Oryzias latipes: one gene and its partner. Each later gene encodes a partner of the first gene's protein in a complex. Links are inferred from orthologs where the notes say so. Each region holds a gene or a part of one and is shown on either strand. Other genes may lie near its edges.

Region 1 (4,440 bases):
AATATCAGAAAGAAGAAAAAAAAAACAGAACCACCACAATGTTATTAGTACGGAAAATCCTGGTTTACAAATGTGTTTGTTTGAAGAATGCTTCTTTATTTTGCCATTTTCAGTAGTAGCTAAATTGATTGGATTCGACTTAACTGAAATCCCCGTTTTTCTGTTGATTCAGCATGGAGAAGAAGACTGGATCTTCATAGCAGAAAAGGGTGGATGATGGATAATGACTTCTAAGTGCTGCTTCAGGAGCCTTCTAAACATCCATACTCATTCATCAAACATTAATTCAATCAGTGAAACAACTGTTGCACTTTTGCAGATTTTCAATCCATTCTTTTCAAGATTAGTTAATGACTTTTTTTCCTCCAAAAACAGGTCAGCAGTTGTGATTTATATTTTAAATTATTTGCATAAAACAACACAAAATGTATGTGAGGAATGTACACTGAATTGTAAAATTGTTAGCTTGACATCAAACACACCTGACGAAAAATGTAATGTTACTTGTATTTCTATAGGTCATTGCCTCCAAATTCTTTAGAGCATGAAATATGTCCAGTATACCAGGCCATTCTAGCTGCATAAATTGCAAAATATTCTTCAAAAATATGATTATTTTAGAAAATTATCTTAGCTTAAAACCAAATAAATTCTGATGCTCTTTAGTTATAATTATAGCATATTTATTTGACTTGAAAATCATGCCTGTCTATATGACTGTCATTTAAAAATAGATGAAACAGGCTGTGTTTGTCAGTGTGGATTAAACACAAAAAACATCTCCTAGTTGTGTCATTCACATGAACTCACGTCATTTTCCCTCCCTGATGTTCCAGTTGTAAATTTCTAATAAACTTGATAGAATAATATAATTTGTGAGATCATCTCTTTTTTTTCCAATTATGTTTGTGTGATCTTTGGCATATGCACTAATTTTATTTGTGTTGAGATGAGCTGAGTTGCATTTTATGGAAGCACAGTAATGTGTTTTTTTTCAACTGTTACATCACTTGACACCTGCAGTTAAACTTATTTTCTTTTCTTTTTAAGCATTTATTTAATCTTGCAGCTTTGTCTCAAAAAATCATTTTCTTATACCTTTTGTTCTCTGAAACTGTGGAACGTACATACATTGTTTAAAACTAACGTATGTTTATTTTAGTAAGTTAATAAGCTAATGCTTTGGCTCTTGTGGATAAAAGCAGGACAATTTTTCTAGATTCAAGAATCCAGTTTCCTTTTTAACTTAAAATAAGTTTTTTCTAAGTAGTACCGGGGTTGTCCAGCAGATGGCAGTAACGCCCCTGCAGCACAGATGAAAACGAACGGCGTCTACCGCCGCAGAAGAAAACAATTATGGCGTCGTTCAGCAGTAACGAGTGGAAAGCTGTCTGCGCCAAATTCACCAACGCCCTACAGCTCAGCGACGTAGAATCACGAAACGACCCCGAAAACGACCCTTTCCGATCCAAATACAAGGCAAGGGAACTTCTGACAGAGATATACTGCTCGCTGAAGAACTTTGAAGCAGGAGATGGCGAGGAGCACGACGACGGAGAGAGCAGCGAGCCGGAGCCGACGGAGGAGCCTCTGGACGGAGAGAAGCCGGTGGATCTGGATGCGTTCAGCCGGGGATGGAGCAGCGACTCGCGCGCGGGGCTTCGAGCAGCCAGGCTCGCAGCTGTGGAGTATTATTTGGGCGTCAACCACGTGGACACAGAAGAGTTGTCCGCCGGGCAGGAGCATCTGATGAACTGCATGAAGCATCTGGGCAAATGCAGAGTGTCATCGGAGAACGTGTCGCTGTTCATCCACGTCAGGGTAACACTGGCAATGTTTTGTGGCCTTATTCGCGTCGTAACCACAATCTGCTACAGCTATGACTTGCGTTTGTGTGTTTAGGGGAAAATGGCCGTACTAGTGCAGCTACAGGGTGTTCGACCACACATAGACCTTTGTGGCAGATCAGCTGATGGAGATCCCCTCCCTCCCTGATGCTGATCATGTGTTTTATTCCTCGTGTTGACAGAATCAGCTGGGGATCCTCTGGGCAGGCAGAGATGAGACGGAGAAGTCCCAGGGCTTCCTTGAAACTGCAGAGTCCATCTACCAACTTTACATGAAGGAGGTACACCTGCCCTAATGCAGTTTAATATCATGTGAAACTTTTTAGTTTATTTTTTGTGGAGATTCTCATCCATCTAGGATGGCTCAATGGCAACATTATAAACATTACAAAAAGAACAAGCAGAAAATGTATTGGAACAAAAAGAAAAACATTCCAAGGGGATTGCACCACCAGTAAGATGTTCTATTTTACAACATAAACAATAATAGTAATAATTTATATATCTGTGATCATTGGACGACCTGCTCAAACGCCTTAGCCACTGCTGCCCATTCATTAGCTTTGAGAGCTTCTGGAAATAGTCGAGACTATGCAGGAATTTGGATTTTGGAGACTGGTAATATTTACTACATAAAATATATTACTATCTACTTACAGAACATATTCCCAATTTATGGTTATATCCTCATAGACTTTAATTTGAACAAAGTCTTTCCAAAAAACAGTTTCAGAGTGAGAGTTACAGAATGTACACTTGGACTCTGTTTTGTCTTTAACTAATATGGCTAGGTATTGATTAGTGGGGTATTTTTTTTTTTTTGCTTTATATGAACAATCAGGTAGCTTTTATCAACACTGATAATGGGTTGACAAGTAAATTTAAGCAAATGAAAAAGAGGGGAAAAAATGATTAAAAAAGGTTTAAATAAAGTTATTCTTCTTCATTCACATGCACTCACATTATTTTGTGGGTGCATGTGAATTTTAGATTATTAGTAATCCATTTTTAATTCAGAAAACTTAGAATAAAATTTCCATTTGACCACACAGGATAGGGATGAATTGGATGTTTATGCAGGAGCTTGTTCGGTATGTCTTTCTCTAAAAAATCTAGATCTACGACACAGAGAGTTTTTAAGACAGGGAAATAGAAAATTTCAAGATTACTGTTTTCAATACATTGTTTTGCCGCAAATGGAATACCCTAGTTTACATTGTTTAAATCTTTTTTTGGAAGCTTTCTTAAGTGTTTCACTTTCAATGTTGAAGTTGTGTTCCAGTACATAAGGAAGTTTGAGATGGCCGATGCAGCTTGTTCATTTTAAAAGGAACCCAACAGCAGCGCAGGTGAACAACTCTTACAAGCACCCGGCTCTAATGTGAAATGGTTTGGCCCTGATATACCACCATGTCTGTTTTCCAGACCGAGCCCTGCTTTCTGCTGATTAGCTCTATTAGGTCCCTTCCACCTTCTCATTGACTGAAGACACCTGATGCAGGAAACAACAGGGTGGTAGATGTTGAGGACCAGGAATGAGCAGCCCTGGTTTAGCCACACCTTAGCATCTATTTAGTTTTTTCCTCAAATGAGATCATTTCTACCCCTTCTTAAGAAATCCAACTTGTAATCAGAGTTATCCGAGTGCAGTTTCATACTAGATATCTGTGGGATTATTCAAATAAAAAGGCTTTCACATTTGTTTACGTTGCTAAAGTTGTCACATGGGGCTGCCATCTGCAGAAACAAAGTGGGAAAATCCTCCTTATTGATTCTATTTTCAGAATGGGAGTCCCCCTACAGACATGACAGAGTACTTCTGCTCTGAGGAGAACCAGCTGACTCATCAGGAAAGAACCAAGAAGTAGAAACTCCAGAATTTATTTTATTTGGTATTTAAATGTTTTGCCTACTATAGTTTGTAATTGTGTCTCCCTCCTCACTAGGTTTGAGCTGGCCTACACTCATACTTTGTACTACCTTGCACAAGTGTATCAATATTTTGGTGAGTAAATGATCAAAATCAAATCCTGATGAACTATAATGTACTGAACGCAATTCACGACGATGCAAAAATCCGTTCACGCCGACACATTTTTGGATGATACCATGTTGCGTTTACTTGCAGGTTAAAAATGTTCTGTTGATTTTTCATTTTTGTCTAAAAGCAAAACGGCATTCACCATGAGTCGTGCAGCTCTGGCTTCACACCCAAGGAATTTAGATTGTTGTGGATACATTTCAACTTTTTGGTCTTTTTGCAACTGCAGTACGTGCCTTAAATGAAAAAAACACACACAAAACGACCTCAAGAATTCAAACGTTTTCTGTCTGTTGTCCCACAATCTCAACATGCTCTTTAATATGTTGACGTTTTCCTATTAAGCCCCACACTTAACTATTAGTTAAATTCATTTGAATCGATCTTTCTAGTAATTCTTTTGAGTTATTGAATATAATTTGTTAACGAAACAAAAGAGCTATAGTTATAGAACATGTCCATGTTGTCCTCTTTCAGGTGAAAATGAGCGGGCGGCCAACTACTGCTACAGTACTCTGCAGAGGCAGCTGCAGTTAAACCAGTTCAATCCAA
Region 2 (3,822 bases), about 6.2 Mb from region 1:
ACACCTGCTGCTCTTAGTTGTCAGTCTTTTTTTTCTTTCTTTTTTCCTCTGAAAGGTTGGTGGTTTTTGCAACATAAATCCAAAACACCAGAGTCACAGGGATCACTGGGGCTTAAACAAACAAATCTTTTTGAGCTAAATATTGTAAAAAAAAAAAAAAAAAAAAAAAGCTTAATTTCTGTGGTCTGCAGCTAAGGTAATTTATTAAATCTAGCTCCTGAACCAAGAAGCAAGTCAAGAAGCAAACCCCCTCATCTAACAACAACAGTCCTTTAAGTAGTGCATACAAATTTTATAGATCCTTACTGATTCTGTCATCAATCACCTTAGAATGCTTTCCATAAAAATCAAAAATCGAGGCGGAAGAGGTTTTGTTTTATTTAGACAACTGCATAATTCTTATTGTTTATGTGGAGGGGGAAGCATGTCACGAAATTGTGGAGAAGGATTACAGGAAAGAAGGATTTCCAGCCTCAGTTTCTGTCTTAAGTGCAGAGCCCCATAATAATCATCTCCCTCTTGTCTTGTAAACAGAATTACCTGTTGCCACTTGAGGAGGAACCAATAACAGAACACTGCTTTACAAGTACTTTGTTTCTTGAGTAAAAACTATCTGAATCAGCCACACGTCAGAATGTCTTGTAAAACCAGGCAAATTCTCTAGTGACATGCTGACAAAAAACTGTTGATAATCCTCCATGTAACGAGTTATTTGAAATCAAACATACCTTACAAAAAAGATATTCAAATTTTCCTCCTTGTGGCTTTGGAAATGATTCACAGCAAGTTTAAGTTACTGATTATACTTGACAGGTTTTACTTTGTCATGAATGTTCTAGCAACTTTGGTCTCTGTCAAGGTGTAACTTTGCACAGCTTTAGGATCTAACAAAGGAGAATATTTTTATTCTCGTTATTATTAAAACTATGAGAAACCTCTTGTAATTCTTGGATTATTTTAACAACTACATGTAGACCCAACATGTATCTAAGGGTTCGGGGGACTGGGATGCTCAGGAAAAGCTTTTTGTCAAGTTACATTTACACTTCATATAGAAAAGCTCAATTACCAGAACTCTGAGCTAACTCTTGGAAAAATATCGTCACTGGCATTGATTGTGCTCTTTTTGCTTATTTTGTTTTTATCATGCTAATGATAGAATTTTTGATTTTGAATTTAGCTGCTTTTAGGTAAAAAAAAAAAAAAATTTGGTGGTTCAATTCCTGCTTTTTGTAAGTCTATAGGTTGTAGTCTTTTTGACCAAAGCAAACATTGTGTTCATGAGTACAGCAAAGCAGCACTTACAAAATACCCGGTGAAAGTGGCTTGTACAGTCAAAACACCTTATTCTGAATTTAACATTTTTCCAAAAGCTGTTAATATTTTTTGGAAGTCACTGTTTGCATGCAATTATAGCAGGGTAATGGTTAGGGTTACAGTTAGGGTTAGCATTAAATTATGTACGGCCAATGCAGCAATGTGCATTTTGGCTGCAAGAATATGTGTGGCCGACATAAATTTCCCTCAGTTTTTGAGCTTGGTCACACAGAAATGAGTATGAAAACCATTGGCTTTTTTGTATTTTTTTCCAGGTTCTGGTATTGTGGTCATGTATTTAAACCTTCTGATATTGCAACGCTGCCACTACATTATTTTGGTTCATATAAGTCCAACAAACCTCCTCTGTGAACTTTGAATGAGAGAAAACCCGCATTCAAGTAGTAATATGAAATGAAAATAGACAGAGTACTGGTAGTGCAGAATTAACTACATCCAAACTTTTCAGCATTAATATGAGTTGAGGAAAAATGTCCTTTGGTGCAAAAGAGCCAAATTCTTTTTCTCAATCTCTAGAGTTTATATACTTTTTGTTGCTCTGGTTTGCAGACAGGACAATCATTAAAGCAAATTTTAGTCAAGTTTTCCAATGAAAAAATTACCCATCTTAAATTCACTTTTTTAACTTAAACCTGTTAATATAATAGGGGAGTTTAACTAAGACCCAGTGTTATAAAATCCACGTCCTCAAACCTGAATGCCAGGATTTCAAAAGGTCTGAAGTTTGTCTGTTTACTTGGCTTTACTACCTCAAAGGCTGCAGACATGAGAACTTAAATCCTGAATTTATGTCTCACAGTCAATTTTATTTAGTTTTTCCACTGTTTTTTATTCAGTGTATCACTGTTGAGTATATTTTTTTACTGACTTGTTACATTTTTTAAGTTGCTGACACAGAACAGATAAATTACAACAGTAGCATTTTGTGACAGTAGAAAACTGGGTGGAACTGGCAATTTATTTAGACTTGTGACAGCAGACTTGCTCTTTATCACTCTTTGTAAGTTGTTTTTTCAATTGCAGTGTTTGCTTATGGCGCAACTGGAGCAGGCAAAACACACACCATGATAGGGTCACCAGATGATCCGGGGGTCATTTATCGGACCATGAAGGAGCTGTTCAAACGCATGGAGGATGTCAAGGAGGAAAAAGAGTTTGCTGTTACTTTCTCATACCTTGAGGTAAAACGCTTGACTACTTGGTGTACTAGTTGGTACAACTTTTTGTCTGTTTTATTTTTGTTGTTCCGTTTTTATATGTCCTTGTATAGTTTTTTTATAAATGATCTATAGGAATATGTTAATAGTTTTGAGGGTACAAATTATATTCTTCACAAATCTTTGGTCACTGATAAATTGAAGGCTGGATTTTCTGATTAGTTTAGGATCATTTTTTTGTTTTCCATCTAATATTCAAAAAATAAATAAATAAATAAAAATAATTGATAATTTATTTATCCCACAATGGAAAATTCTTCTCCGCATTTGACCGATCCCCGGAGGGAGCGGTGAGCTGCAGTAGCGTTAAGGCAGCAGTGATATGGTAATTGCCCCCAGTACCATTATTTATTCCCCTCCGGGAATCGAACCCTGGACTCCCTTTACCTTACCAACTGAGCTACCCAGCTGCCACTATATAGTTATATAGCGTCTTATTCCCAAAACACAACTGATTTAGGTAATCAGCAGCAGATACAGCAGGATTTTGTAACCCTTGTGCTATCTTAGGCACTTTAACATTGAGAGTTGGGTCATCTAGACCCACTAGACAGTGCGCTGAACCTTTTTTCTTCAATGATTTGTGATCTTCACTGGTGTCCATGGATTACATGAAATCCTCTTCACCTTTATCTACTTTTGTTATGGTAGGGAGAACACGTCAATGTAAGGGTGGGGTCATCTGGACCCCACAAGATAGCACCTAAAACATAAAAAAAAACAAAAAAAACAGCAGGATGCCAGCCCTCGAGACCAGGAGTCAAACATTTCGGATTTAGGGTTTGGAACGAGTTGCTGTAAAATTCTAGAAAACAGTCAAAAGTGTGGAAAAACAAATGTATCTTGATGAAACTCCCTTTGCCCTGTTTGTATTTGATCCAAAAGTCTGTTTTTCTGACAGTACCAGTTTCAATTTGATTTGCACTCTATACATTCATTCATTTAATGTGACGTGCACTATTTTCCAGATTTGCAGTTTTTTTTGTTTGTTTTGTCTTTACAACAGTTGATCTCAATTGTTCCCAGGTTTACAATGAACAGATCAGAGACCTGTTGGCTAATGCTGGGCCTCTTAATGTCAGAGAGGACAGCTCCAAAGGAGTCGTCGTTCAAGGCCTCACACTGCATCAGGTTTGTAACAATGCACCCAAGAACATATTAAAGGTAAATCAAGACTTTACTATTGCAGGTAATTTGTTACAAATTAAATTTAACAACACATTGTGTGATTGATCAGTTTAGAAACTGGAGAATAGATGAAAAAGTA

What was found.
Region 2: the proteins of kif1bp (region 1) and kif18a are in contact, whole or in part, in a cryo-EM structure (PDB 7RSI), measured with the Homo sapiens proteins. The link is inferred for Oryzias latipes from reciprocal best matches to the Homo sapiens genes KIFBP and KIF18A. Residues at the interface, in NP_056449.1 of Homo sapiens: Ser150, Glu151, Tyr212, Tyr213, Gln216, His220, Gln238, Ile251, Asn252, Thr255, Gln258, Asn262, Gly414, Tyr415, Val459, Asp460, Leu461, Asn462, Pro463, Gln464, Leu467; in NP_112494.3 of Homo sapiens: Glu181, Thr183, Gln184, Lys185, Gly186, Arg274, Phe275, Val276, Glu277, Gly278, Thr279, Asn280, Ile281, Arg283, Ser284, Leu285, Leu288, Gly289, Val291, Ile292, Arg314, Lys317, Asp318, Gly322, Asn323.

What each region holds. Positions count from the first base shown.
Region 1 is NC_019861.2:24,154,558-24,158,997, forward strand, and holds the start of kif1bp (KIF1-binding protein), read left to right. Parts: upstream 1-1,330; 5' UTR 1,331-1,356; coding exon 1,357-1,821; intron 1,822-2,029; coding exon 2,030-2,128; intron 2,129-3,631; coding exon 3,632-3,711; intron 3,712-3,793; coding exon 3,794-3,852; intron 3,853-4,365; coding exon 4,366-4,440. Other genes in the region: mpc1 (mitochondrial pyruvate carrier 1), read left to right, coding at 173-200. UniProt on the Homo sapiens protein: Activator of KIF1B plus-end-directed microtubule motor activity. Required for organization of axonal microtubules, and axonal outgrowth and maintenance during peripheral and central nervous system development.
Region 2 is NC_019861.2:17,967,521-17,971,342, reverse strand, and holds part of kif18a (kinesin-like protein KIF18A), read left to right. Parts: intron 1-2,361; coding exon 2,362-2,519; intron 2,520-3,581; coding exon 3,582-3,686; intron 3,687-3,822.